7 linked regions of the Daphnia pulex genome follow. The protein of the gene in region 1 purifies or fractionates together with the protein of each later gene. This does not show direct contact. Links are inferred from orthologs where the notes say so. Each region holds a gene or a part of one and is shown on either strand. Other genes may lie near its edges.

Evidence for each region.
Region 2: the proteins of protein AAR2 homolog (region 1) and probable ATP-dependent RNA helicase DDX23 purify together in Homo sapiens (affinity purification with mass spectrometry; 3 studies listed by BioGRID and IntAct, counting the BioPlex papers as one, with this or other methods). This does not show direct contact. The link is inferred for Daphnia pulex from reciprocal best matches to the Homo sapiens genes AAR2 and DDX23.
Region 3: the proteins of protein AAR2 homolog (region 1) and co-chaperone protein daf-41-like purify together in Homo sapiens (affinity purification with mass spectrometry; 3 studies listed by BioGRID and IntAct, with this or other methods). This does not show direct contact. The link is inferred for Daphnia pulex from reciprocal best matches to the Homo sapiens genes AAR2 and PTGES3.
Region 4: the proteins of protein AAR2 homolog (region 1) and tetratricopeptide repeat protein 27-like purify together in Homo sapiens (affinity purification with mass spectrometry; 3 studies listed by BioGRID and IntAct, with this or other methods). This does not show direct contact. The link is inferred for Daphnia pulex from reciprocal best matches to the Homo sapiens genes AAR2 and TTC27.
Region 5: the proteins of protein AAR2 homolog (region 1) and telomere length and silencing protein 1 homolog purify together in Homo sapiens (affinity purification with mass spectrometry; 3 studies listed by BioGRID and IntAct, with this or other methods). This does not show direct contact. The link is inferred for Daphnia pulex from reciprocal best matches to the Homo sapiens genes AAR2 and C9orf78.
Region 6: the proteins of protein AAR2 homolog (region 1) and E2F-associated phosphoprotein-like purify together in Homo sapiens (affinity purification with mass spectrometry; 4 studies listed by BioGRID and IntAct, counting the BioPlex papers as one, with this or other methods). This does not show direct contact. The link is inferred for Daphnia pulex from reciprocal best matches to the Homo sapiens genes AAR2 and EAPP.
Region 7: the proteins of protein AAR2 homolog (region 1) and protein ecdysoneless-like purify together in Homo sapiens (affinity purification with mass spectrometry; 3 studies listed by BioGRID and IntAct, counting the BioPlex papers as one, with this or other methods). This does not show direct contact. The link is inferred for Daphnia pulex from reciprocal best matches to the Homo sapiens genes AAR2 and ECD.

The regions. Positions count from the first base shown.
Region 1 is NC_060019.1:11,511,558-11,515,528, reverse strand, and holds protein AAR2 homolog, read left to right. Parts: upstream 1-1,576; 5' UTR 1,577-1,698; coding exon 1,699-1,865; intron 1,866-1,958; coding exon 1,959-2,074; intron 2,075-2,137; coding exon 2,138-2,254; intron 2,255-2,317; coding exon 2,318-2,612; intron 2,613-2,700; coding exon 2,701-2,875; intron 2,876-2,938; coding exon 2,939-3,172; 3' UTR 3,173-3,277; downstream 3,278-3,971. Other genes in the region: ubiquitin-conjugating enzyme E2 N, read right to left, coding at 20-201, 439-594, 668-758, 887-916; CDGSH iron-sulfur domain-containing protein 1-like, read right to left, coding at 3,355-3,444, 3,504-3,617, 3,694-3,806, 3,896-3,935. UniProt on the Homo sapiens protein: Component of the U5 snRNP complex that is required for spliceosome assembly and for pre-mRNA splicing.
Region 2 is NC_060019.1:355,854-359,762, forward strand, and holds part of probable ATP-dependent RNA helicase DDX23, read left to right. Parts: intron 1-897; exon of another isoform or gene 898-1,004; intron 1,005-1,323; exon of another isoform or gene 1,324-1,340; 5' UTR 1,341-1,351; coding exon 1,352-1,638; intron 1,639-1,696; coding exon 1,697-1,982; intron 1,983-2,051; coding exon 2,052-2,318; intron 2,319-2,385; coding exon 2,386-2,647; intron 2,648-2,711; coding exon 2,712-2,837; intron 2,838-2,902; coding exon 2,903-3,189; intron 3,190-3,248; coding exon 3,249-3,488; intron 3,489-3,556; coding exon 3,557-3,820; intron 3,821-3,890; coding exon 3,891-3,909. UniProt on the Homo sapiens protein: Involved in pre-mRNA splicing and its phosphorylated form (by SRPK2) is required for spliceosomal B complex formation.
Region 3 is NC_060018.1:13,104,279-13,107,742, reverse strand, and holds co-chaperone protein daf-41-like, read right to left. Parts: upstream 2,011-3,464; 5' UTR 1,846-2,010; coding exon 1,832-1,845; intron 1,551-1,831; coding exon 1,364-1,550; intron 1,301-1,363; coding exon 1,106-1,300; intron 1,013-1,105; coding exon 899-1,012; 3' UTR 584-898; downstream 1-583. Other genes in the region: GRB10-interacting GYF protein 2-like, read right to left, coding at 2,843-2,965, 3,035-3,244, 3,320-3,464. UniProt on the Homo sapiens protein: Cytosolic prostaglandin synthase that catalyzes the oxidoreduction of prostaglandin endoperoxide H2 (PGH2) to prostaglandin E2 (PGE2).
Region 4 is NC_060020.1:293,277-297,766, reverse strand, and holds the start of tetratricopeptide repeat protein 27-like, read left to right. Parts: upstream 1-1,614; 5' UTR 1,615-1,719; coding exon 1,720-1,816; intron 1,817-1,890; coding exon 1,891-2,044; intron 2,045-2,103; coding exon 2,104-2,338; intron 2,339-2,400; coding exon 2,401-2,665; intron 2,666-2,730; coding exon 2,731-2,968; intron 2,969-3,028; coding exon 3,029-3,095; intron 3,096-3,155; coding exon 3,156-3,488; intron 3,489-3,543; coding exon 3,544-3,717; intron 3,718-3,783; coding exon 3,784-3,936; intron 3,937-3,999; coding exon 4,000-4,161; intron 4,162-4,221; coding exon 4,222-4,490. Other genes in the region: transcription factor kayak-like, read left to right, coding at 63-167, 235-864.
Region 5 is NC_060023.1:10,024,233-10,027,701, reverse strand, and holds telomere length and silencing protein 1 homolog, read left to right. Parts: upstream 1-1,439; 5' UTR 1,440-1,535; coding exon 1,536-1,672; intron 1,673-1,739; coding exon 1,740-1,854; intron 1,855-1,920; coding exon 1,921-2,075; intron 2,076-2,138; coding exon 2,139-2,342; intron 2,343-2,410; coding exon 2,411-2,544; intron 2,545-2,609; coding exon 2,610-2,782; 3' UTR 2,783-2,823; downstream 2,824-3,469. Other genes in the region: zinc finger CCHC domain-containing protein 8 homolog, read right to left, coding at 2,846-3,364, 3,425-3,469. UniProt on the Homo sapiens protein: Plays a role in pre-mRNA splicing by promoting usage of the upstream 3'-splice site at alternative NAGNAG splice sites; these are sites featuring alternative acceptor motifs separated by only a few nucleotides. May also modulate exon inclusion events.
Region 6 is NC_060018.1:7,627,713-7,631,471, reverse strand, and holds E2F-associated phosphoprotein-like, read left to right. Parts: upstream 1-1,412; 5' UTR 1,413-1,557; intron 1,558-1,628; 5' UTR 1,629-1,641; coding exon 1,642-2,141; intron 2,142-2,224; coding exon 2,225-2,474; 3' UTR 2,475-2,911; downstream 2,912-3,759. Other genes in the region: protein MEMO1-like, read right to left, coding at 2-218, 304-415, 473-585, 653-721, 832-913, 996-1,044. UniProt on the Homo sapiens protein: May play an important role in the fine-tuning of both major E2F1 activities, the regulation of the cell-cycle and the induction of apoptosis. Promotes S-phase entry, and inhibits p14(ARP) expression.
Region 7 is NC_060018.1:5,231,279-5,235,187, forward strand, and holds the end of protein ecdysoneless-like, read left to right. Parts: intron 1-536; coding exon 537-624; intron 625-699; coding exon 700-878; intron 879-987; coding exon 988-1,129; intron 1,130-1,226; coding exon 1,227-1,406; intron 1,407-1,476; coding exon 1,477-1,602; intron 1,603-1,675; coding exon 1,676-1,856; intron 1,857-1,920; coding exon 1,921-2,235; intron 2,236-2,297; coding exon 2,298-2,482; intron 2,483-2,545; coding exon 2,546-2,746; 3' UTR 2,747-3,167; downstream 3,168-3,909. UniProt on the Homo sapiens protein: Regulator of p53/TP53 stability and function. Inhibits MDM2-mediated degradation of p53/TP53 possibly by cooperating in part with TXNIP. May be involved transcriptional regulation. In vitro has intrinsic transactivation activity enhanced by EP300.

The sequences.
Region 1 (3,971 bases):
CCTTCCACAGATCCAGGTTTCATATGTTTCCCATAGCATAAGTTCTGGTCCATTCTCGAGCATTACGAATAGCTTCTACCTCGTTGACTTTCCACAACTCAGCAACATCATTGGCCAATGGATCATCGGGATTGGGCGCACTCAATAGAGCTTGAATCGACAACAGCACTGTCCGAATTTGCAAAGCTGGACTCCATTTATCTGAAAATATTAGAAAATATTAAACAAAGCCAAATCCACACACTTAAGTTTTTCAAGCAAATGCAACTTTCTGAAGTTAAAACTGATTTTTTCCCCAGTTACTTAAAAATTCAAAGCACAAATGTCATAACAATACAGGTATACCCTGATAACCAAAACACAAGATTATACATGCATAGAACACATAACACTTGACAATCTTGATAGAGCAAACACTAAAGTAATAAAAATAATCACCTTTCAGAATATCAAGACAAATTCGGCCAAGTTTATCAATATTAGGGTGATAAATCTTTGTCATGAATCGCACTTTAGGTGCAGACATTGGGTACTCTTCAGGCAAAAATAGTTCCAATTTGAAAACACCACCTTCAAATGGAGAACCTTCTGGACCTATGAATTTTAATCAATATGAACTAGTCAGTACCAGAATGACACTTTAAGGTTGCAATTTAAGTTTACAGACCTGCAACCACAACATGGAAATAACGAGCATTTTGTTCATCTGGAACTGCACTAATGCCTGGGACAGGCTCAGCCATCAAACGTTGAGTTTCCTATTGATCAAATTAATGACGAATATACTATATTGCTAGAGAATACTACCGGTCCCATAATAGGATCGGGAGAAAAAAACACGTTGCCTCCCACTTTGATGCAAGTCTACAATTAAGATTTGTGTTACCTTGATTATCCTTCTAGGTAAGCCTGCCATTTCGCATCAATTTGTTGAACAAACAACGAGTATAAAATAAGATTTTCGTATAATAGATGGTAACTTTAAAGCCAAATAGAGAAGACGGAAAGTTTTCACGCTATACGAGTGCCCTATTGCTAATTTAAGACGTTGTCAAATTGTTTGGTGACGAAAATCGGTAGGAGATCGACCCGGCCACACGGGAAGAATTAGACATATAAACATATTATTTTTCAAATTAAGACGATTTATTTAAAATGAACAAAGTTTATTTGAATTGGTTTACAAACGGAAATACACGAGAAAGCTAAACAAAAGGTATTGCTTTTCAAATGCCGGAAATGAGTTTAAACCTTTATTTCAGAACCGTAGAAAATGACCAGTAAAAATTTTTTGGTTAGATTAATTGGCTGTTCTGTTTGCGGAATATTTTAATTATTTTCATGAATCATCTAGAAAGAATTTCGACTTGAAAGTTGAAATAAATTGAAAAAGGGCAAATTAACTAATAAGGCATGATTAAGATTGAATGGCAGGCTTCAACACATAAAATTTTTTATTTTATCACTTTCTTCTCCTATCCTTCTTCATGTTAATTTTATTCCCTTTTTTTATGCAAAATTGCTAGAATTTAACTCGGCAAGTCGGCATCCGGTACTGATCTGACGTCTGACCTCCATGTTGTTTGTTTTTAAACTGTCGTCTGCTAGTATTGTTCGTTCATTGCTTTTGCGTGGTTTCATTCACTCAGCTTCATTCTGTTTTAAAATATAAACCATCAAGTGTCAAACACGGAAAGAATGGATCAAAAATTGGCTAACAAATTATTTGAAGAGGGCGCGTTTTTATTTCTTCTTGGCGTACCAATTGGGACTGAAGTAGGAATAGATTTCAACAGTTGGAGAACCGGCGAAAAATTCAAAGGCATAAAAATGATACCCCCTGGAATTCACTATATTTATTACAGGCAAATAAGTTATTTTTTGTTAGAACAGTTGTGTGAGTGTAACATTCACTGTGAGGTACAAAATGTGATTGTATATTTTTATATAATTTCTAGCTCTGTAAGCAAGGAAGGTTCCGTAGCGCCAAGAACAGGTTTCTTTTACAACTTCAATAAGAAGGAAGTTGTGGTCCGTAAGTGGAACCCAGAAATAGAAGATGTCATCAACGATTGTAATTTTATTTTATAAATCATTATTTAATATTAATTTATTATTTAGTGTTTATCCATAATAGGTACTGATGAAGAAAGAGAAAGTTTAAAAGCCAATTTAAAAAATCTTGATCAGCACTTGGGTCCATATCCATTTGATACCTGGAAGAAATGGATGTCTCTCAGCAGTAAATTGACAAGTATATTTTCTTATACATTATGTAATCTGTACAAAAATAAAATGTCTAACAATTAATATTTAGCTGATGTAGTTGGGAAAGTGGAACCCCTTCAGCAAAAGATTTCATCAGTTACAGAATTAATTTCATCAGAAGATGTACCAGCACCAGCAGAATCTCCAGTGAAAGAAAAAAGAATAAAGAGGTCAAATTATGAAGATGAATTACTACCGCACATGCAACCAAAGCCAGGCACAGCGTTAAATTTTACCAAAGTCCCTGTTGATTTCTATCCAGTAGGATCAAGTGCCATGGAAATCACTAAACATAGCATTGACACATCTTATTTACTGGAACAAATGCTGTCAACTTGGGAAAGGTCGGCATTTTTTTAATATTTATTTTTCGGAACGTAAAAAATACCAAATAGTTTGCTGTATTTAATAATAAATTATTTTCTTGTTTAGACCCAATCAAATGCTTGCTGAACTTCAAATGGCGTTTTTGTGTTTTTTGATAGGACAAGTTTACAGTGCTTTTGAACACTGGAAGAACGTGATTCGTATTTTTTGTTTTGCTGATGAGATTCTGTTGAAAAATCCATCATTAATTGTGGAGTTCATTGGGGATATCTATTTTCAGGTGATGACATTAGAAAACACAATTTTCAACTAAAATTATTAATTAAAATATATTGTTTTTTAGATGCAAGAAGTATCTCCAGATTTTTTTGTTGACATAATCTCATCAGAAAACTTCCTCATTCAAACTTTAAGAGTTTTGTTTGGAAATATTTTGGAAAATGATGCTGTTGACAGACAGCTTAAAAGAAGAGCCTCACAGTTGAAGCAATTTGTAACACAGAGGTTTCAATGGGATTTTGATGTTGAACCAAATGATGAAGCACCAGTACTAGTTGAGTTGGATGAAAGTATGTAATAATATTAAGAGAAAATTGATACTTCAACCACTTCAACCATGATATACTGTACACAAATTTCCTCAATTCCTCAATACATGTGTAATGTGTTTACAAGCTGAAAACCAGTAGTAATAATAACTAAATATATGAAAAACTACTAAAGAGATGGGCAGTAACTACCACATGGTAGATTGCTTGTTCAGTTGCTTTTCTTTCCAACAATTAGTGGGCCAACATTATCACCAGTCTCTGTATTATGCTTGTTGTGTGAACCATCACAGTAGGGAAACTAGGAAAGGATAAAAGTTATATAAGATAAATTAATTTGATCCATAATAAGTTCCTTACCGAAGCACTACGCCAGCATCGGCAGAATACTTTCTTGTCCCCTATGTCTTCTAAGTCAAAAGTGTCAACTACTTTTGAATCACCCTTTTTAATACTCTGATTAACCACACTGCCCTGTATAAAGAATTGTATAAGAAATTAAACTTCAGATTATTATCTTCTAAAGTCAAAATATATTGAGAATCCATACCTTTTTATCACACTTCTTTTTACAAAATCCAGTGCCTGTTACTTTGGCATAGATGAAAAGTGATATACCAACAGCAGCAACCCCAAGAGATGCTGAGCATACCAAATCTCGAACTGAAATTTAAATACAAAAGATAAGATAAATAAAAATCTCATTTTATGTACAAATTTTTATGTAAGTCTTAAACACTAAACATTCTTACTTCCTAAAGGACTACTAAAGATATTTGAGATGTAATCCATTATATAAATAAAAGATAGACTGAGCGACAATCAGAG
Region 2 (3,909 bases), about 11 Mb from region 1:
AGTTCCCAAGTTTGCCCAATCTTAGATATTGGAAAGCAATATCCCCCCAAAAAAAAAAAATTTGTTGAAAGGGAAGAGAGAATAATCAACTTAGGCGATGATAATTTACGTGACAAAAAAAGAAATCCCCCTTCAAAAATGATTTAGGAATCCTATTTTAATTTTAAGAAACTTTGAGGAAATATTTTAGCTTTAATTCAAGAGAGAGAAGAAAAATAATTTACTGTTTAGAGGGATCTATTTGCTTACTAGACCCCTGAGAACAAGTTAAACTCAGAGAGAGAGAAAAAGATTCTAATAAATGACTGACCTGCCATAATTAAACACAATTTTCTTTGATAAATGGCGGCAATGATTAAGCAAAAGGAGATAACGAGAGAAAGATTTGAGTGTGATAGAGCGAAACTAACTTAACACTGGTTGGAGAAAACTCCAGTTCGAAGGACCATGTTGGAAATGGAACTCTTGTTGGCGGTGTCGACCGTTCAACTTCCAAGATTGAGATAAGAGATGACACCTTTGTTGTTGCTAGTTCGTCCTTATATTTCACACTGCCGTATAATACAGCATTTTGGTATTTCAATAGTTGGTTTAGGGTTGAGTAGGGTAGGGAACAATAGATTGAATGGGAAGAGAGGGTAAAATTGGGGCCCTCTGTTGAGGTCCCTACAAATTACACAGAATTAACAATAGCAATAATGTCGATCACTGTTGGGATGCAATAAATTCCCAACACGCACGACAATTTCACGTCCGCCAATTTTCATCAAGATAATAACTGATGTATTTTTCTTATCAATTTTTAAAAATTCTACGTTAAATATTTTTCCAACAAAATGAAAATAAGCTGCAGTATTTTTTTCGAATTAATCCAGTCTGGCATCGTGACGTTGTTTAAACGCTTTTGTCGTCTGCTACACATTGATGATGCGGTGGTCTTGACAAAAAGTGCGAAGTTTCTTATGTGATAGCTCATTTCGGATATTATTAAAGGAAAACAAAAGGTAATTAGACGTGAAAAAATTACTAGCAAAACTATAAATGTTCTTGCAACGTGTTTTTACTATTGGGGTGACATTAAAATACCTCATGTTTGATTTAATCGCCAAAAGCTTCTAGAACATAGTCTTCAACTTTGTGAACCATTGGGGCCTATTTTGTTTAGAAAATAACTTGATTGAAGTTTTTAAATTCTTGTCACTAAATTCGTTTTACATGCTGTAGTATATTCAAACTAGATAGGGAAAATTAATTGATTGACACTTAAGGATCTGTAGTTTAACAGTTTATTATCATCTTTTTCGTTTCACCTGTTTAAAACAGCTGTTGATTATTTACAGAATAATCAGAAATGGTCAACGAGGATCGAAGAGACGTTCGCGACGACCGAGATCGCCGCAATAAAGATAGAGAAGGTGATCGAGAGCGAGAAAACAAAGATCGCGAGCGAGAACGTGACAACAAAGATCGTGAAAGGGATCGAGATAACAACAAAGATCGTGACCGTGGCAATAATCGAGACAACAAAGATCTTGCCAGAGATCGTGATCGTGAGAGAAGAGAACGCGAAAGGAAAAGATCACGCAGTCGCTCTCGTAGCCGTGATCGAACAGCAAGACGACGTAGATCCAGATCCAGGTAATGAAATTAACCTTAATTATATTTGTCCATTGATTCATTTGTTTTTGTTAATTAGGTCACCAAGGGACCGTCGAGATCGTAAAGATGTGAAAACCGAACAAGATGCAAAAGACCAGGAAGCAAGTGAAGAAAACACTGAACAGCAAGCGATTAAAAAGGAGCCCCTGTCGCTGGAAGAATTGCTGGCCAAAAAGAAAGCCGAAGAAGAGGAAAAGAGCAAACCCAAGTTTCTCACGAAAGAAGAACGTGCAGCCGAAGCTATGCGAAAGCGACAGGAGGAAGTTGAAAATCTACGCAAACAGCAAGAAGAGGAAAGATCAAAACGGAATGCCTTTTTTCAGGTTTGTATTCATATCCTACATTATTTGTTATTTTAGATTTAACACGACATCTTTTAAAATTGATTTTAGGCGGCTAAAGAGACCAACAGGGAACCAGAACGCGATCGTCGACGTGATCGAGAAAGGGAGCGCGAAAAGGAGACCAAAGATCGTAAAGATGGTGAAACAGACCGCGATAAGCAAAAGGAGATGGATGCCATCAAGGATCGTTACCTGGGCATGGCCAAGAAAAAGCGACGTGTCCGCAGGCTGAACGAACGTAAATTCGTTTTCGAATGGGATGCGGCAGAAGACACTGCCGTCGACTACAACCCAATCTACAAGGAAAGACATCAGGTAAGAAGACCCTTGATATAAATTTTAAAAGGTGAAATTCTAACGTTTTCTTTATTTTGTTGATTAGGTCCAATTTTACGGTCGTGGTCATGTGGCCGGAATTGACATCAAAGCCCAGAAGAAAGACCAGTCGAAATTCTATGGTGACATGTTGGACAAACGCCGGACAGACACTGAAAAGGCCCAGGAGAAGGTCCGTTTGAAGAAGGAACAAAGACGAGAAGACAAGCAGAAATGGGACGACCGTCACTGGCAAGAGAAAAAGGTCGAAGAAATGACTGAGCGTGATTGGCGTATCTTCCGAGAAGATTACAACATCACCATTAAAGGTATGTTACCTAAACTTGTTGATTAATTAATATGTTTAACTTAATGTCTTTTGGTTTTTTTAAGGTGGCAAAATTCCTAATCCGTACCGTTCGTGGGCTGATTCTGATCTCAACAAGGAAACTTTGGAGATTATCGAAAAAGTTGGATACATTGATCCTACTCCCATCCAGCGTCAAGCCATTCCCATTGGTACGTTGCCAATAATTACTTATCTGTTTGAAAAAGTAAACTTATTTCACGTGAATTTTTTTCAGGATTAAAGAACCGAGATATTATCGGTGTGGCTGAAACAGGATCAGGAAAAACCGCCGCATTCTTAATCCCCTTACTCGTATGGATTCAGTCGCTTCCCAAGAACGTCCGCCTGGGTGACGATGATTCGGGACCCTACGCCATCATTTTGGCTCCTACTCGTGAGTTGGCTCAGCAGATCGAAGAAGAATGCATCAAATTCGGTCAGCATTTGGGCATCCGAACGGTTGCCGTCATCGGTGGTCTATCCAGGGAGGAGCAAGGCTTCAGACTGCGAATGGGTTGCGAGGTAATTTCTCTTATCCTATCCCAGTTTATTCATTTCATTGACTTTTTTACTTTTAACAGATCGTGATTGCCACTCCCGGTCGTCTGATTGACGTTTTGGAGAACAGATACTTGGTGCTGTCACAGTGCACGTACATTGTGCTGGACGAAGCTGATCGCATGATTGACATGGGTTTCGAACCCGACGTGCAAAAGATTCTGGAACACATGCCAGTCACAAATCAGAAGCCGGACAACGACGACGCTGAAGACGAGCAAAAGCTGATGGCCAATTTCAATTCCAAGAATAAATTCCGACAGGTATTGGTTTGGTTAATTCTAAACGTCAGACTGGTTTATTTACCTCATTTTTTATTTCCTTTTTGCAGACTGTTATGTTTACGGCAACCATGCCTTCGGCGGTGGAGCGATTGGCTCGAACTTACCTGAGACGTCCGGCTGTGGTCTACATCGGCTCGGCCGGCAAACCTGTGGAACGGACGGAGCAAATCGTCTACATGGTTGAAGAGAACGCCAAGCGCAACAAGTTGATGGAAATTCTGCGCCGCGGAAAACTCGAACCTCCCATCATCATTTTCGTCAACCAAAAGAAGGGAGCAGATGTACTGGCCAAGGGCCTGGAGAAATTTGGCGTAAGGCATTTTAATTTAAAAATTTTGTCTAGTTGAATTCATTTAAGGTGTTTATTTATTCTTTCGACAGTTCAATGCTTGTACTCTGC
Region 3 (3,464 bases), on another chromosome or scaffold:
CGAGACGCCAAAGGTTCACGCTCGGATGGAAATGACTGCCAGCAGAAATGGCAGATGATAACGTCACAATTCTTTTCCTTAAATCTTTTCTTGTAATTCTAGTAAATGGAGTAGCGGCGTCGAATAGGCGTGTCAAAAGTCAAAGTCGAGTGATCATCACTCTTTTTGGCTAGTAGCTGCAGCTGTTGCGGTCGACCTAAACGTACGTCCCTGTACAAAAATGATTCAGCTGCCTCGAGCGACTTTTTGCTCTTTTGATAACGTGATTCGTTTCTTCCTCCACCTGTCCATCCATTTTTTGAAAAAAAAAAAAATAAAATGTTAAATAAAGAATTTTATTTTTACTTCGTCTTTTGTTTGGTTGTCTTCACACATCCACCAGGCCCCTTTATGTCACGCACCACAGAAGCAGAGAAGCGCGCCGGATTCCTTCCAACACCTTCGCGCTGGAAGTTCGCTCACACCTGATTTTGACACGCACCGTTAACTTTTTCACCTGTGCAAAGAAGCGATGATTGGGAAAGATATAAAAAAAAAATCTTGAGGTAAAAAAAAGTAAATTTCTCTCTTTTTTTTTCTCAAATCTTTTCATCTTTTGTTTTTGTATTCGAAACGGCTCACAAGAAAACATGACGAGATGCAAGACTGGTGTACAAATACTTGATTACTCTTCGCCGTTTTGCTTTTGTTTTTGCTTATTGTTGATTTGGAAATGGATGATGGCAAATGCCACGTCTTTATTTTCACTTCCAAATATCGACGAAAATTTGCAAGTTGAGGGCGAAGGATAAATGGAAAAAAAACAAAATGAATTACGGGGCAATAAACAAAAAATCAAAGTAGGAGAAGAACCGAATGGATGAATAGAAGAGGAGCGTACGCGTCCGTTAAATTTCTACTATTCCAAATCGGGTAAGTCTTCGTCATCCTCGTCCTCTTCGCTACCACCAAGATCGTTCAAGTCCATCTGACCGCCACCTGCGCCGTTCAAACCGCCCATGCGACGCATCATCTAAGAAAAACCACAAGTTTTATTGACACTCTTAAAACGCTACCCTTTTTAATTGTATTAATTTCGACAAAGGTATCAGAATCTCTCACGTACCTCGTCGAGGTCTTGGGATTCTTCACCACCATTTTCCTCTGGCTCGCTATCGTCCTCGTCGCGCCACCTATTAAAGTCGATTTTGAGCCAGTGCACCTTCTTCTTGTCCTTGAAAATGGATGGCCAGTAAGGTCCCTCTTCTTTCTTTCGAAGGAAGAATTCTATGCTGCGCTCTCTGACAAAGTACTTTGATTCCTGCAATGAATAAAATTGGGTGAGTCTGCGACGATGCAAACATGAGCACACTATTAAACTTACAGCTGTGTCAATTTCACCAAATAAATCAATCGTGACTTCAAAAGTTTTCTTATCGGGACCTCCTGTTCCTTTAAAGTAAACTTTTGTTGGCTCAAGGGTGATGACTGGTTCCTTGCAGTCTTCGACATTAATAGTCAAAGACACCAGGTTTTTTCTCTGTGCCCACATGGCAGGAGGAGGTAATAACCTGAAAGATGGAATGAGAAAGATTAATTTTGGACGAGTAAGCACGGGCAATGAGCACATGGAATTGATTTGTTAAAGCATGGTTTTCAACTTTTGATCCTGACAAGCCAAATTCACAATCCATGTTCAAATGTCTTCCATTCAAGAAGCAAATCTCAATAGGAAAAACTATGGCAGAATCTAGAAACAAACACCGGCTTGAAAGCCTTATCAACCCTTCGTTAATGCTCATCACGCCTTCACAACCGATTACCAATTTTTGTGTAAGAAAATTAAACTCACTGTTCTGTAGCCATTTTACTGTGAGGAACGACTTGACGAAATTAAAACGAGAGTGAGAAGTTGTTAAAGTGGATGGTTGGACCTGAATAATCAAGAGGACCTTAATATAAGAAAAACGGGCAAAGCGTCAACTCAACTTTTCTTTTCTCTGGAACAATCCTACACGAGGTGATCGATTTACAACGTTGCCAATTCGGGGTTATTAGTGCCATATTTAAAAAAAGATTATTTATAATTTTATTTCTTTGTGAAAAAAAGCTGCTGCTAAATTATATTTTATCCTTGTATTTTTCTAAATTATATTTCTATTTTCGGAAACTGCTTTTAGCTATTTACCCATGAGAAATCAATAAAACTATTTCATCACGTTTTTCTTTTGAATTGTGGTCAAAATCAATGAGAATATTGAACGAAACATCCGGAAATCTCGAGAAAAAGAATACCCTTTTGGAAACTATCCAACAAAATTAAAGTTACCAAATTTCCCGTGGAAACTCTTAAAATTTTTGTGTTTTGTACGGAAAAAAAACAAACAATCCCACGAAAACATTAAACAAGTTGGCACTCATGCGGTGCTTATACTAATGAACTAAACGTTAAAGGAAATGCTACGAGAATTGAAAAACAATTTTTTTTTAAGATGTTTGTATTTGATTCGTGACCAAGATCAAATTGATATTTTTTGATTCAGTGCCGAAAAATTGTAACAGAACAAAATGTCCAGCCCTGATTCTTTTCTGCTGGTGAGGGATAACGAAAAGAACTTGATCACGTTTATATTTTTGTTAACTTTTATTGCTGCCCACCAACTTTCCACACTCAAGACGTTTTGAAATTGTTGCTGTTGGTGTGTTTGTTGCGTAAAACTTGTTGTGTGTCGACATCTTAATTGTCCATCCCTAAACCCCAATAAACAATAATCATATTGGTTGCTTTATAAGTTTGAACTCGTCTCTTGTCGTGTGTGGTCGTTGATTTTATCTTTTTTTTTTGGCTTTCTTTAACAATGATTCACATGCCGTCCACGAAATCGCGCTCACCGACGTTGATGCGATCCGTCGAAGCAGAAACGCTGAATCCCAACAAACTGGCATCCACTTTCTGCATCTTCTTCTTAGACTTCTTGGATTTAGACTAAAACGGAACATTTTCATTAGTGAAATGGTAGAGACAACGTTTTATCTTTTATTTTTAAATAATTACTTTAACTTCATGGAAGTCAGATGATTGTCCCGGATTTATGGCTTTGGCCGGGATGCACATGTTGTCCTCTTCGTATTGCTGGACGTTTCTTTGCATCTGGCGCCAACGAGAACGTTGATCAAGGAATTGCTTGGCGAACTCTTTGGCGTCTTTGCCCTCGCCAAGATACAAGCGAACATACTCCTGGACTTCAAATGGAGATTCCACGTCCTGTAATAAATGTAATCAAGAAAAAAAAATGTAGTCAAGAAACATTAACGACCCGACTCAAAAGATTAACTGTACCTTGAGAAAGGCGACAAATGTGGGCACATCAATCTGTGCCTGGACTTTCTTCAGGTACTCAAAACACCACTGACTAAAACTATCCTTCTTTTCAGCGGCGGCGGCGGCAGTTTGATTAAACAGCTTGCGAACCGCTTCTTCCTCC
Region 4 (4,490 bases), on another chromosome or scaffold:
TAATCGAGTTGATTTTCAATATAATTGAAATCAAGACTAAAATTACTTTCCATGCTTTTTAGCCCGGTGAGGACTCGGGCAAAAGGTTGATGCGGCGCGAACGAAACAAACAAGCTGCTGCCCGTTGCCGTAAACGACGTCTGGACCATACGATGGCTCTCCAACAGGTAATAATTTTGCCAGCGATATTTGTAGAAACAAATGCAAACTGTTTTTTCTTTATTCCGTCTATAGGAAACGGAGTTGTGGGAAGACAAGAAACAAATCTTGCAGAATGAGATCCGTCAGTTGCAAAAACACAAAGAAGAGCTGGAACAGCTTTTGGATTCTCATAGACCTCAGTGCAAGATGATGAGAAAGACGGGCCATTATCCGTCGAACAACAAAGCACCTCTACTTCCCGCTATGCCTAACCTAATGCCGATACCAAATGTCCAGCAACCCCAACAACAGCAGCAACAACAACAACACTCCCACGTTCAGCAGCAACCAATCAAAGAGGAACGTCACGAAAGCGATGAATCTTCATCAGACGGCGTCGGCTTAATCGAGTTCACCCGACCTACCATAGCACCACGCCCTCGTCCTACAACGCTACCCGTCGCTTCCCCCTTTACAAATGCTCCACCGCGTAATTCTAGTTGGCATGAAATCGCCGGTATCGCAATCACTACACCTTCATCCGGAATCCCTGGATTCAACTTTGACTCGCTCATGGAGGGTGGGACAGGGCTCACTCCCGTTGTGCCTAGCCCATCGTGTGGCACTCAGCAACAACGTAGTAACGCAGGAAGTAATGGAACAACTCTGCCCGTTGATTTGTCCAGTCCTGAGGCTGTAAACCGAAAACTGGTTTCACTTTGATGCGTTTCTTAGTAGATAATTATAATCTGAAGTTACTTTTTTAGGGGAAAAACTGGGTAAAACTTATATGAGGTTGCAAATAGATTTGTATACCTTTTGCCCCCTATATTTATTTTTTAAACAACTGAAAGAAAACAATTGTAGTATGTTACATACTAAAAAAATTCTTCAAGCTCATTCAATCACTATCGATTGACCTATGCAAATCAATGTCTTTAAAAGCCTTAATAATTGCGGGAATCGCTTTTAAAAAATTTCTTCCTACTATTTCTAAGTTTAGTTTTTAATCCAACAGAAACTAACATTGGGTTGTTTGAATTCACACGTGGTTTACCCCTTTGCTCTCCCACAGGACCCTTTTGCATTCCCGTTGCTCCACTAGTCTCGAGCGATTCGATAACGAGCGCCGTTTCTTCTCCTTTTTTTTTGTTAGCTCCCGTCCCTTGGTTTTTTTTCCTACGCAGAATTTATGTAGATTGGCTACAACGAAGTCTATTGCCAATCCATGCCTTTATTTGTTTTCAAATTGTATTTTGTCATAAAATCGAATGCCACCCTTGTATAATCCGCTTACATTGATGCAATAAACAACATTTGATAGCTTCAATTTTGAACGATTCTTTATAATTGCTTATTAAACTCAAATTGAGTTTAATTGAGTTGCTCTATATGAATATATTCGGAAAACCTAGGTTAATGAGTCATCATGAAGCAAGATGATCCAGTCATCCGCATTCCGCTGTTTAAGAAAAAATTATCGTCGTCTGCTAGTAGACATTTCCCACGTGTTGTTTCAATCTCGAGCGCGCTTTCATCTGCGACATTTAGGATTACATTTTTCGAAGCCCACAGAAAATGCCAGAAGTGTGTCGAAAGCAAGTAACTCTTGAAGTAGAGCTATCCCTATTGGATCCTCAACTTAGATCAACAGATCTGACACATTTATGTGATGGTGAGTTTAATTAATGTGACAGTGTAGTACTCAGTTAAAAAATGACATGATTTGACAGCTATAAAATTTTTTAGATCTCAAAGACCTGATTGAACACATCCAAAAAGGAAACTTTGAAGATGTTCTAAAGCACTGTCCAATTAGGATTTTTGGAGCAGGTATTCAACAATCATCAATCAAAGAAGCAGTTGAACGATTTTGCCATGATAATTCAAGTGATGAAACCAGGTAGAATTGATATTATATAAATTGAACAGCAGTAATTCTTATATTATCAATTATTTCAGTTTATTTCAGTTGCTTTGCATTGGGATATCTGCCTTACAGCGCTTTATTCAAAGTAACTGGCTTGGATGCAACAAATGGGAAATGTCATCTGATGATGACATGATAGACAGTGCATCCAAAGAATGCTTAATTATTGATGCAGAATGCTTATTTCCCACCATTAAAGACCTACAATTGCTCTTGGCTGCAAAAACCATCTTATTTGACTTCAAGGAACAGTTCATGCACTTCAAGGTAATTTAAAGTTGTTTAACAAATTGAATAGCAAATTGATTCTCATTGTATTTTATGAAAAGCTTTCAGGTTGGTGGCTTATGAGGTATTTATATGTCCACCAACGAGTCTTAGAGGAGTCATCCCAATTGCTGCATTCTGCATTCCTTGAAAACATTATTGGCAAGATTGATCAGCTTGAAGAATCACTTGGAGGTAACTTGCTTTTCAGCTCTCTGCTGCAGTTGGAGCTCGGTTACACCTACTTGCTGTATGGTGAAGTGCAAAAAACCAAACTTCATTTTGAAAAAGCCAATGAGATTGTTGGTTTTAGATGTGAATGGACAGGTAGGTTACAAAATTTAAAACATAAAAAACACCCCAAATATGTTGAAAATGTTTGTTTACTAAAGGGGCAATGGGGAAAAGGACACAGTATCAACAAACTCCGCTACCCCAATTAACGATCAAAGTTCATTTCAACATGGATGAGGCGCTGCTGACAGATACTACCGAACGAGCAAGTGATCTGCCAAGAGACGTACGATTAGAGGATGACACCCGTTTGAATCACATCGCCTTTATCAACAAAGATGACAATATTCTCCCTGATCTTCCTCCTCTGTACCAATCTCTTTTGATTGCTCATGCGTAAGGAAAATTCTAACTTTTGTTCAGTGGCGTAAATTAAATTTATGGATTCTGTTTTAGAACTCAAATTGAAAAATTCCATCCTAAAGATGACCTTCTTGGAGAAGAACTATCACCTTTACTAAACGTGAGACAAATATTTCCATTTTTTTTACAGTAACATTGAGTTGAAGAATATGTTTTACAGTGTATCTTAGGCTATCCAAAAATCTGGTCTTTTCATGTCAGCTCTTTGGTGATGCGCTCCAAGTTGGAGTCTACGCAGCGCCGCGCTGTTGAACGAGCTCTTTCTCAGTTGCAAGAGCTAGCAGATTCTCTAGCAAAAGTCAGCCCTGATGCACATCGTCGAATTGAATATTTTTATGTTTCGCGAATTCCGCTCGAGTGTGAACTTCAAAGCGAATTGGCCGAAGTTCTTAAAAGTCTTGGAGCAATCAGCAGTGCGTTAGACATTTATATTCGTCTCCAGCTGTGGGATGGTGTTATTGCTTGTTACCAACAACTCGACAGAAAACATAAGGTAAACTCGTGTTGTATCAATAAATCCTCAGTAGCTTGTAAAATTTAACATTTAGGCAGAGGAAATTGTCCGCCAAGAATTGGCAAAAGGTGAAACACCCAAGCTGTGGTGTCTACTTGGAAATTGCACTGATGATGTGACATATTACGAAAAAGCATGGGAATTGTCCAAGCACTCGAGCGCTAGAGCTCAACGAGATTGGGCAATGCACTTTTACAACAAAAAACAGGTCCGATTTTTTTATTATTTACTTTTACGAAGCTTTTTGACTTACATTAAATTTGTCTTTGAATAGCTTCGCGAAGCTATCCCCCACTTTCAAGAGTCCTTGAGAGTCAATGGATTACAGGAAAATATCTGGATTCGATTGGCCTTTTGTGCTATGGATATGGAAGACTGGGAAATTGCCGCCTCTGCATACCGTCGATATTGCGGTCTGAACTCTGAGGTATGTGCTCTAAACGTTCACAAAAAATTAATTAATAAATCGTCAACGTTCACATCTTCTTAGTCGTTTGAGGCTTGGAATAATGTAGCCAAATGTTATGCCAAACTGGGCCAGAAAACTCGGGCTTGGAGAGCTTTGCAAGAAGCTGTCAAGTGTAACTATGAAAATTGGAAGATTTGGGACAATCTAATGATCGTATCCATCGATTGCTGCGAATATGAAGAAGTAAGTTCCTTTAATCGTGTTGCATCTGAACAACATTTTATCGAGTGATCATATTTATAGGCCATACGTTCGTACAACCGTATCCTTGAACTGAAAGAAAAACATGTCGACGTTCAAGTGCTGAAAATATTGGTTCAAGCAATCGTGGAGAACAAAGAAGATAATTACGGCCAAGAAGTCAATCGACTCGGTGCAGTTGTTCAAAAACTTTTTGGCCGCTTAACTTCACAGGTGACCAATGACGCACAAGTTTGGGAAGTGTATGCCGATCTTTTGGCTGGCAACGGAGGTACGGAAACAACGACGGCCTTTCGAGTGGCTCAACTCAT
Region 5 (3,469 bases), on another chromosome or scaffold:
AATGGATCAAATCGATGTTCTCGAAAAAAGACAAACTTCCAGCTATTAGTAACATGGAGGTATATTAAAATTAATATCTATCAAATAATTAATATTAGCAGACAGAAATTTGTGTACCTTTACACAAGGCACAATTATTATTTACAGGACATTTAAATCATTTGTCTATAATTTGTCGTAATCTACTGCGTTCATTGAAGTTGTTTAACGTCTCGGAAACGATTTTCAGCTGGGTCAGCCGCCTGATGTAAAGAGGACCTTAATTTTACAATGTCCTTAACGTTGTCTTCATTTTCAGGCTCTTATAGACCTTTTTATGGATAGTTAGACAGCGGAAAATAACTCTAAATCCCAACTAAAACTTTAAATAACCACGCATTTACGTTCTTATATAATTAATTACATCAACAAAACGCACAAATTACAAAACCGAAAAAACTTACATTTCCTTAAGGGAGAAGAAGATAATTCTGATCTTCCTGATGGGTTGGCACACCAACACCTCCTGCTCATGAAACTATAGACATCCCATCTACAGGAGTGGTATTCCAATCCATATGCAAGAAACATTGCAGCAAGAGAGACATACACAACTCTGAGCTTCATGCAATGTTTGACGACTCGAGGATTCCACAATAGTGCAATCGTGAAAATTCTTCATCTTAGAAGATGAAAAGGTTTCCAGGAAGCCAGGATGCTTACGGCAGGCGGAGATTCACCGAGTATCTTGCAGTCAAGGCAAGAGAGTCTGATCACAGTGAAGTACACGTCTTTGGTTTAGGATCAAGCGGAAGAGTTCTTCTAGAAATTCAAAAAGAGTAGGAGGTGATTAGGTTCAAGCAACGTTATCCTTCCAGTGCCCCCTTAAACATAGCAATAGGAAAAAAGCAAAATGAAAAGAACAAATATTACGAAAAATTCCGCAAAATTCTGTCGAAAAATGTATAAATAAGGTGATAATATAATATTATACTTATATTGGTTACTCAATTTGTGCTATCAAAAGATTCATTTCAGGCTTCAGGAAGGAATGATTTTTTAACACTTAGAAAGAAGCAAAAGCTGAAATCTGTGCTTGACTAACAAAAACATTGAGGAAACTCTATAATGCTATTTTCTAATAAATAAAACGAAAAGACAGTAAGTTTAATGAAGACTCTTATTCCAATCCCACTCCAACAAACTCAGCATGTTTAGGTAAATATTCTAAATTGAAATGCACAACAATGGTCGCCATTTGCATGACACCGTGAGATGGAGTAAGCTCTAACTGTTGCCAGTTTTTGTCAGTTTATTCCTTCATTTAATGACTCATTAATTTGAGAATAATTCTATTTAAATATTTAAGAATAAAAATATTTTTATACCTATCACTCTGGTCAAGTTGAAGAATTACTCAAATACGATTCCGAATTTCCCATATATCGGCAATCTGTCAAGGTTGTATGTCACTGTACTGCTTCTGTTTTGTTTTTGTCTAAAAGAACGGGACGCCTTTTTAAGTTACAGAACAATTAAACAAATCGTAAAAAAATATGGAAGAAATTGGTGATAATTCGGGAGAAGCTTCTCTAACATTTAAATTCAAGAAACCAAGTAGAAAACCTATGAGAAAACGTCTCGAAATTGAAGAGGACGATGATGCTGGTGGCAGTGATGAGCTCGACGTGTTGTATGCACATTCTTATAAATAATATAATTTAAAATGTATTGTCATATTTAATTTCCTAATTTTCTAGGTTAAAGCTGGAAGAGACAAAAGAGTTACAAAAGTTAAGAGAGAGACCCCACGGTATTAGTGCTGTGGCATTGGCAATTGGCAAGCGAATAACTGTTGAAGAGGAAGTTACAGTGGTAAGGCAGTGTATATAGAAATTTATACAAGATCATGCATTAACTAGTTTACTTGTTTAAGTAAAGAATGATCCCTTCAAAGTTACAACTGGTGGAATGGCTGATATGAAGGCAGTTAAAGCTGGAAAGCAAAATAGTTCATCTGCTGATGATGCATATGAAACTGGAATTGGTACACAGTTTTCCGTGGAAACCAACACTCGAGATGAAGATGCAGAAATGTGTGTAAATATTATTCATTTACAACTCTTGCAATTCAGTTATAAAATGTTTATTCTTTTTAGGATGAAGTATATTGAGGAGCAACTTGCAAAAAGGAAAGGTCTAATGCAAGAGGATGAAGATAAAAGTAATAAATACCTGACTCCTGAAGAAATTGCTTTTTCGTCAGTACCTGAATATCTGAGAGTGAAATCTAGTGTCCAATCTGAAGAAATGTTATCCAACCAGATGCTTAGCGGAATTCCGGAAGTAGATCTAGGAATAGAGTATGCCAGTCTAAAACATTTTTATATTAAAAATTTTTACAATGACTTTCATAATTATTTTATTAAAGGGCCAAAATTAAGAATATTGAAGCAACTGAAGAAGCAAAACAGAAGCTGCTTCAAGAAAGACTTCGTAAAAAAGATGGTCCTTCAATGTTTGTTCCGACTAACATGGCCGTTAATTTTGTCCAGCATAACAGATGTACCTTTCTATTATTGATCTATACTTAATTAAAAATTTCTAATCATATTTTTACATATTTTTAGTTAATATTGAAGAATCTGGCCCCCCACGTAAGAAACGTGCTGAAGCTTCTGTCAAACCAGCCGTCCCTGTAGAGTTACCTAAAAGGTTAGACAATGTCGGTGGGAAAAAAGAGCATGATAAGGCAAGCGACGACTTTTATTTCGAAAAGTTCCGGCGACAGTTCCGAAGATGATGAAAGTCTTAATTTTTCAAAAAAATACATACATTTTTCAAATAAACGATTTTTCAGTGCCATTTATTTCCTATTAAACATTTGCTTCGCCTTTTGAAGTAAAGATCGCATCTTTTGAAAAGCGCCCGTACTATTTGGAAGATTTTCGTATAGTTCAAGTTCACCCATGGTCCCAAGTTTCCCATTTTGCGCAAACTTGTCTCGTGAAGGTAGGATATTATAAGGTGAATATCGTATAGAGACAGGAGTTCCCATTGCCAAGAGCTTGCTCTTTTTCGGTGACAAGTCTTGATTGTTGATTGGTGACTCAATATTTAGAGGTAGATCTGATATTGACGAGGTAGGAATCGTCACTGCAGCAATATCCATTTCCTGAACCTCGTTGGTTAGGTTGGGAGATCCACTCTCTTTCAATGTGTCCCCAGTAACGATGCCAGTTGTTGTGTTGGTTGGGTTAGTGGTTTCACTCCCTTCAAAATTTTCTTCAATAACACAGTCATCGTCTTCATCTCCCAACTCAGCAAGCAATGCCTGGCGCTTTTCTTCAAGGTCTTCTATGGATGTATCCATGTCAACGATTTCCTAAAATAAGGAATTTTAACTTATTTGACAACATTTCAACGATTTTATCTAGCAACAAACCAAATTCGTTTCTTCACTAGAATTCTTTTGAGTTTTACTGTGCAT
Region 6 (3,759 bases), on another chromosome or scaffold:
CTTCTCGATCTAGCCTTTGGATAGACTGGAAAATTTCTCCGCATGCTTTGTCATAGTGGGTGTAACGAAATCGTTGACCCCAGTGGCAAAAATCCGATGAAACGACGAAACAGTTGTTGGGGTCCGCGAGATACTTGGAAAGGAGTCTTCCGTAGTGGGTTTCACGTTCCGGAGACAGCGATCCAACCAAAATTGGGACAATGGTAAAATCTCTGTGACTAAAAAAACAGCAAGATATTTGAAAATGAACAACATTGCAATAATTTGCATGTGAAGAATTCTGATTGCAATAAATTCACATACTTTTCAAAAACTTTGGCAATATAAGGCAGATGCATTTCAATGCTATGCTCATCTTCATCTGTTTCCAGATTCATCCACTCAAAGCAGCCAGTACCCTGTAGTTCTTTATACACTAAAAATAATACAGACTAAATATTTTCCCTTACAAAATTGTGAAATATAAATTTACCCTGTGTATCAATGGTGAGATCATAAAATGGAGTGCGGTATTTGGCTACAGATGAGAGGGCACATCCAGACAGCCTTACATGATGGGAAGGCCCTAGAATAAAGACACGTTTCCTGTTCCAACAACATACACACTGATGGGAAAATAAAAGGTAAAAAAATTTTTGAGGCTTATTTTTACACATTTGTAGGATCAATCTGTTTGTATGCAAAACCTGCACAAGATCCGCAATAACGATAGCCAGCATGCCTGTGGTAAAATAATAAACAGCTTTTGTTAATTTTCGCACAGGAGAGACTTTCACAAATTTATATTTTATTGATAGAAGTAAAAAAAAAATAATCATTTAAAAAACTTACGGTGCAATGATAGCCCTTGCTGGTCCATGTGAGAAATTGGCTGCATCTAGCCACCCATCGAGTTGACGACCAAGTTCCTTAGCTAGGAAAGGGTAAATATGATAAACAACTAAAATATGATGTTTTTCCATTTAAACAAAGGAACAAAGATGTGTCAATATTACCCGAATCAGAATACCAGCTGCCAGCGTGGGATGCTTTTCGTACGGACATGTTAAAAATAACCCTTTTTTACGTAATCTTTAATCTAAAGGATATCACCAGTTCTATTCTCGATTAAAATTATTTAAGAATAGTCCTATTTCCTAACCCACCTAGCAGTGTACCACCACTGTACACAATGCAACCAGCCGTCCTTCTCACACAAGTGATTGAGGATTGGACCATTGGGGGGTGAAAGCAGACCGACCGAAAGCAATCAACGATGCGAAAAATTAACTATTACAGAAATCGAAAATTCCAGGAAAAGTTACATGATTTTTATTTTTAAATTATTTTTTAAAAATCCTGATAGATTTTTTAAAGCTTTTTATAGGCATTAAATCAATTTGAATGAAATTTTAAATCAGTGGCAGCTATCGGCCTATCGCCTGAAAGAATCGAGTTATAACGATGTCAACAAAGAATTGACAGAAGGGCACATGCTGATTTGCTTAGTTATACGTACGTAAGACCATCGTTTAATGCTTGTTGATGAAAACAATATTGGTTTCTTGTGTAATAACGGTGAGTAAAACTTTTAAGAGTGTGAAGCTAGTTTTCGCTGTATATAAAATACTTGTTTTCACCGATTTCAGCTCTTTTTCCAAAATGGATTCAGATGACGACTACATTGTCCAACAGTTCAGCGATGAAGGAGGCATCGATTCGAGCGATGACGATGAAATGGTTATGAAAGAATTTTACAAGCAATCAGAGTCTGGGGGAAAAAAGTCGTTGAAAGATTTTCAGGCTGAAATGAACAAGGAATTGGAGCTTCGTGTGGCAACTTATCTTGAGAAAGAAAAAATTCAAGATCCAACAAAATTTGGGAGTGATGTTAAAACAGAAAGCAAGTCAAGAGATCACTACTTTGACACTGATTCTGAAGAAGATGTCGAAACAGAAGATTCAACAGCTCAAGCACAATCTAATATGGAATTATTTTATGATCCTCAAATGGATCTCAAAGATGAATCCTATGTACAAAAGCAGCGAGACATGTACAGAAAGAAATTCAAGAATCAGGCCAAGCCCAAACTTTTACCTAACAGTGATGCGGTGTTGAACTGCCCTGCATGTTTTACAACTTTATGCCATGACTGTCAGAGGTAATTATACGACCTGCTTTTTAATTAATTACATCATAAGACTTTGCTGAATCTCTTGTATTGACTGAATGTTAACCTTGTAGGCATGAAACTATCAAAACACAGTACAGGGCTATGTTTACTTTTCATTGTCAAGTAGACATGAGTGAGGTGATGAAAATTCCTCTGCAGTCACAGAAAAACCGTTCCAAGAAGACGGCGTCAGATGAACCTACTTTCAGTGGGTCTGAAGATGTTTATCATCCGGTACGGTGTTCCACGTGCAACACACATGTGGCTATGTTTGATAGTGATGAAGTGTATCATTTTTTCAATGTCGTTACGAGTCATTGAATAAAGTCCCGTCTGTTATTATTTTTGTCAGTGTGTTGTTAAACTTGTGTGTGCACTTAAAGTTATTGTAATAAGAAAATCAAGAGTCTTCGAGGACAAAAATTTTGTGTAATCGCCACACATCAAAAGGGGGAGGAGAGGAAGTCACAATTTCTTTTCATGTGAAAAGAAAATAAAATAACGGAAGGGTCAGTGGGCAACGGTTCACACACCCAAAAGTAATATTCCGCACTGTGCGAACAAAACATGGGATTTTTTTAACCAAAAAACTAATTAATGATGTGAAACGCTGTAAAACGGGTGGGAATCAAATGATTAAGAGGAATATTTATTCAAAATAATTCCTGTGTGTCTGTGTTATCCAATCGACTCGGCTACCATCAAACCCCTATCCCAGATCCCTATCGAATTCGAAATTGGAAAAGATTTGCACAAAATAGCCTCAAAAAAGGGGAAAACGCAAAAGCATCAACAGTATGGGGGGAACGAAAAATTATACCCACAAAGAAAAACGCGAAAGAAGACGAGACCCAAAAATCAATGCACAAAGATTGAAAAAACGGGAAAGGGAGGAAGTCCACGTCTATTAATTTTTTTTAAGTGGACAAAATTGGTTGTGTTTTATCGAGGAAAGAGGTTGGGCGGATATAACACACCACAAAGAATTTGAAAATAATTTGGTTGTTTCTAGGGCTCGAAGATGAATGTGTCTCAGTCATCGAACGGATGGATTTTTCTAATTTATGGGATAAAAGTTCGGAGGGGAGGAGGAATACAATGAAGAAAAACATTCAAAAATAGAATGAAGAAAACTGGCCGACTCCAAACATAAAAAATTCTTCCTGCTTTTTTTTTCACACTCGGCAGATTCATCTAGAATACTAATTCTATCAAAGAATGATGGGCTTCTTTTTCTGCCATTCTCTCACACCACTACCCAGCTCAGCCGTTGCTCGATTTTGTGTACAGATGGTTCAAAAACAACGAAAATTTAAGGGATGAAAAAGAGCAAAACTAGACACAAACGATGAAGGTTGAACCAAACAAGTTTTTTTTTATATGAACGAAAGGGTAAAAACGAGAGGAAGGGTTCTGGTTGATGGTGAATGTATCGAATTTCTTCTACAGCTGACGAAAAAATCACTTATTTTTTTAAGACAAATAATTCCCCATGTTATGTTTTTTTTTCTTTTCTTAATCTGCCGATTCGTATTCTGTTTTAAATTAACTTGGTCCAGTATTCCATCCCCGAGCAGCACGGCAGTTCACAACACTACACTGGACG
Region 7 (3,909 bases), on another chromosome or scaffold:
AAAGGCAACTCTAAAGGAAGGTGCGGGTCCACCTGAAGTCCTCAGTTGTCCGCCGAACTTCCATTCACGTAGACACAACAGGAGCTCTCCATTTCTCTCTCTCCTCTCTATCTCTCCTGTTTTTCTTTTCCCCACTTCTTTGCCACATCGCCGCCTCTGTGCTATTTTTATATTCGCTTGCACTCTCTCGTCAGGAAGTCTTTTTCCTGTCCCCTACAAGCGATAAATTGTTTTCGTGAATCGCCGTTGATTACTTACCCAATTCCAACATGTCACCAACATGCTCTAAATTGTGCAACTGCTGGCTTTGCCGCACTCGCAGTTAATCTATTTTAGAAAAAAACCTTGTGAATTGGTAAGCGACTATTTTTGGCATCTCCAACTTTTTCAATCAATTACACTAAGCATCGCGCCAGTGGTCCGCCGTTTCTGCGGATATAATTGAATTAGTGATTTAACCGGATGGTCTAGACAATTGATATTCTAACCAGTTTTGTTGTTTGTTTGTTTTGTTTTTCTTCTTCTCCCCATCACAGAATTGTTGATTCAGATGGTGAATTCTTGCTGGTTGAAGCTGCCGATAGTCTTCCGCGTTGGGCCAACCCAGAAACTTGCATCAACAGGGTAAGTTTATTCGCTTAACTCTTTTTTTTGGAATTCCTTGACAAAGTTATAATTTTATCACTCTGAAAATTACAGGTTTTTATCCATGGTGGTCAAGTTCATATAATCAGTATAGCTGATCGTCCCTCTAGTATCACTCCTTTACCGTCAGGCCAGCCTTCTCTGATGGACGCTGTTCACATTGTTCGTTCCATGCCGCACTTGACCATAGCACCCGCTCCCATTCAAGAGCCAATCCACCAGCGCATTGACAAGTAAATTTGAAATTTCTAATTTTGTTTTCGAGTTTAAGGCCATTTCGTAATGGGGACAACTCCCCTGGTTTTTTTTTTGTGTGTGTGTTTTTTCTTTCAACTAATTCAGGTGCGTATCTCAAATCGATTCCAGTCTTCACCGTTGCAATGTATTCGTGCCTGCTGGTGTTGCCGCTTTGCTGCAATCCTATCCGACTCTTGTAGCACCAGCTATTCATGCATTCTGTCAGCGCGATGCCTCTCAACTGCAGGTATTTAAAAAGTGTCTGGTTAAAATGTCAGCTCAAACCCGAGCTCCCGAAGGCAAGGTTTAATCAATTATTTTGTTCCCCCCGTTATGTAACGTAGGTTATCCGCGCCATGCGTTTCTTTCCCCCAGAAACTCGAGTATGGACGTCAGTGACATTCACAAAATGTCTTTATGCTATGCTTGTTCACCGTAACTACCAGCCAGATCACAGGACTGGCTGGTCTTTACCACCGATTGGCGATTCCAAACGAACGGGTTCAGACCTTGGCATGAAACTTGTACGCAATTTCTTTTATCTGATTTTGTCTTTTCTGTTTTGAATTTATTTATGTTTTCAAATCATTTCAGGCTATTGGATTTGAATTACTGGCTAACGAGGAATCCTTACACCAAAAAGACGACGATTATTCTTTGGACATGGATTCACGTTGGAATCGATTCCTAAACACACTGAAAGAAAAAGGATTTTTCCAGGTAAATTTCACTGAAAGTTATTTTGTCAAATTTACAAAGTAATTTGTGTTTTTATTTCTGTTTGTTCTTTTAGGATTTCCTCGATGGTTCTAAACCACATAATGAGCTTATGGAAAAAGCTCGAGAATTTTACATCAATAGTGTGGGAGTAGAAGGACCGGCAAAGAAACCTGTCATTTTAAGACTGATGCAATCTGTTTGTGCCGATGTCGACAAATTCAAGAAAGTAGAATCCCATTTACCTGCGGATGACGGTAAGGTTTCACTTGTAAGACGTTGGTAGAACTGCAACTCATGTTTCGTTGTTATTCAATACAGATGACTCCTGGCTATCTGTTGATCCTGCCACCCTTGATCAAATTCTCGGCGACAAATTTAGTTTGTTGGGAGTCGATGATGATGACGAGGCCAAGGCCGATATCTTGCCTAAACTTGAAACCTTCCTCAATCGGACGTCAGATTATGAAGGTCTTACGCCGGCCAACGGCAGGAAGAAATCCAGAAAGCTTTCTCACCTAGCTCCGCCTTCAAGGAAGACGTCAACGCTCTCAAACGCCTCTGACGCTTCCCAACTTTCTACCAACATTGGTTTCGATCCAGATAGTTTTGCATCCGCAATGCAAGGGATTCTTGGTACGTCAATTTCTTGTAAATTTGTTGGACTTTGAAAATAATAAAAAAAAAATCTTTTGTAGATTTCGCTCTGCCAGAAGACAATTGGGATTTGGAATCAAATTCTTCTTGTTTGAGCAGCTACAGTGAAGAGGAAGAAGGCGACGAGTTGGTAGACAAGGAGATGAACAAATACATGCAAACAATGGATCAAGAATTGTTAACCACGGATGTTCATCGTACTTCCGTAGACAACCCTACTCGCAAGGTAAATTTTTGTGTGTGTGGAATTAACAAACAATTGGTAATAAGCCATCGAATTCGTTTCCAGGAATCCGTCATGAGCGAAGGTTGTGAGAGTTTCAGCGATGTGGAAAACTTTCAACCCGTAAAAATTGATTCTGCTGCTCTTGAATCCCTTCTTGCTTCCTACACAATGCAGCGTGGTGGTCCTGGTCCTGCATCTATTTTGTTGAATCAATTGAATCTTTCTCGGAGCCAGGTATCAGCCAGTAAAAAACAAACCGACTGAAGATTGTGACCTTACGTTTGTTTTTCTCCTCTTTTTCTCTTCACTCTTTCCCTATGTAATTATTATCGATGTCTTTTCATCCGCCCTATTTCCTCTTACCCATGCGATTGGGTGATTTGAGGTTTAATTTATTATTATGATTCGTCTTTTGATAAAAACTTCCGGTTTTTTTTTTCTTTAAAAAATTCGGTCCCTCACCTTTTCGAATCTGACACATTTCTCAAAAGCCAGTCGCTGCTATCCCTCTGTGATACACAACGCTCGGTGGAGGTGGTTTGTATAACGGGACTTTTTTTTTTTTTTTCCATTTCCAGCTCCATTCCTAATACATTTCGGATTTATGTATTCGCCTTCTTTGCGTTCTTCCATGTCTTTTGGCGTTATAGCTGCCATTTGAAAGATACACGAGGATTCACACTGAGCACGTCTTGTAAATTAAGTCGATACAAACGGAACGACTCGTGGGGTCAAATTACTCGTACCCACGCAAGTCACGGTTTGCCTCCAGCCCGTATCCTTGTTCCAGATTTTAAAAATACCTTTTTTTTTTGCTAAGTTGTTGTATGCGCACAAATGTGGAGTCAAAAGGGCAAGGTACAAGCTATTTTAATTCGCGTCTGGCCATTATTTTTATTCTTTTGGCTTTTTGAAGTAGTTCTAATGAATTTGAGTATCGTTAAATTGTTTGCCAACATACCAAAATGTCCAATCATCGAGTTCTCAACGGATTTGATGATAATACAGTTGAGTAAGTTTGAAGGATGCCATTACGCAGTTTCCGCATCAATGGTGCATAACGAAGTCCTTACTTCAGCGGCGACTCCGCGGGGAACATTGAAAAGCCAAATTGGCGGGGTAAGTGAAATACGTAGAATTTTATACATGTTGAACCTCTATGGTGATCAATATTATCAAACGAACTAGCTTTAACAAGTTACATGGAAAATTCCACGAAGAATGTTTTTTAACGCTTTAACAGGTCAAATGTGCCATATCTGTTAAATGCTAACCACCACATAGTAAATCTATGAATGGGTATTTACTATTTGCATAAACTCTGTGCAAAACAACATTGTTTTAATTTATTATTTACTTTAACTTTGTGAAATTCACAGTGTGAAACCATTACATTTTTTTTTATTGAATTTCACAGTTTTAGAAAT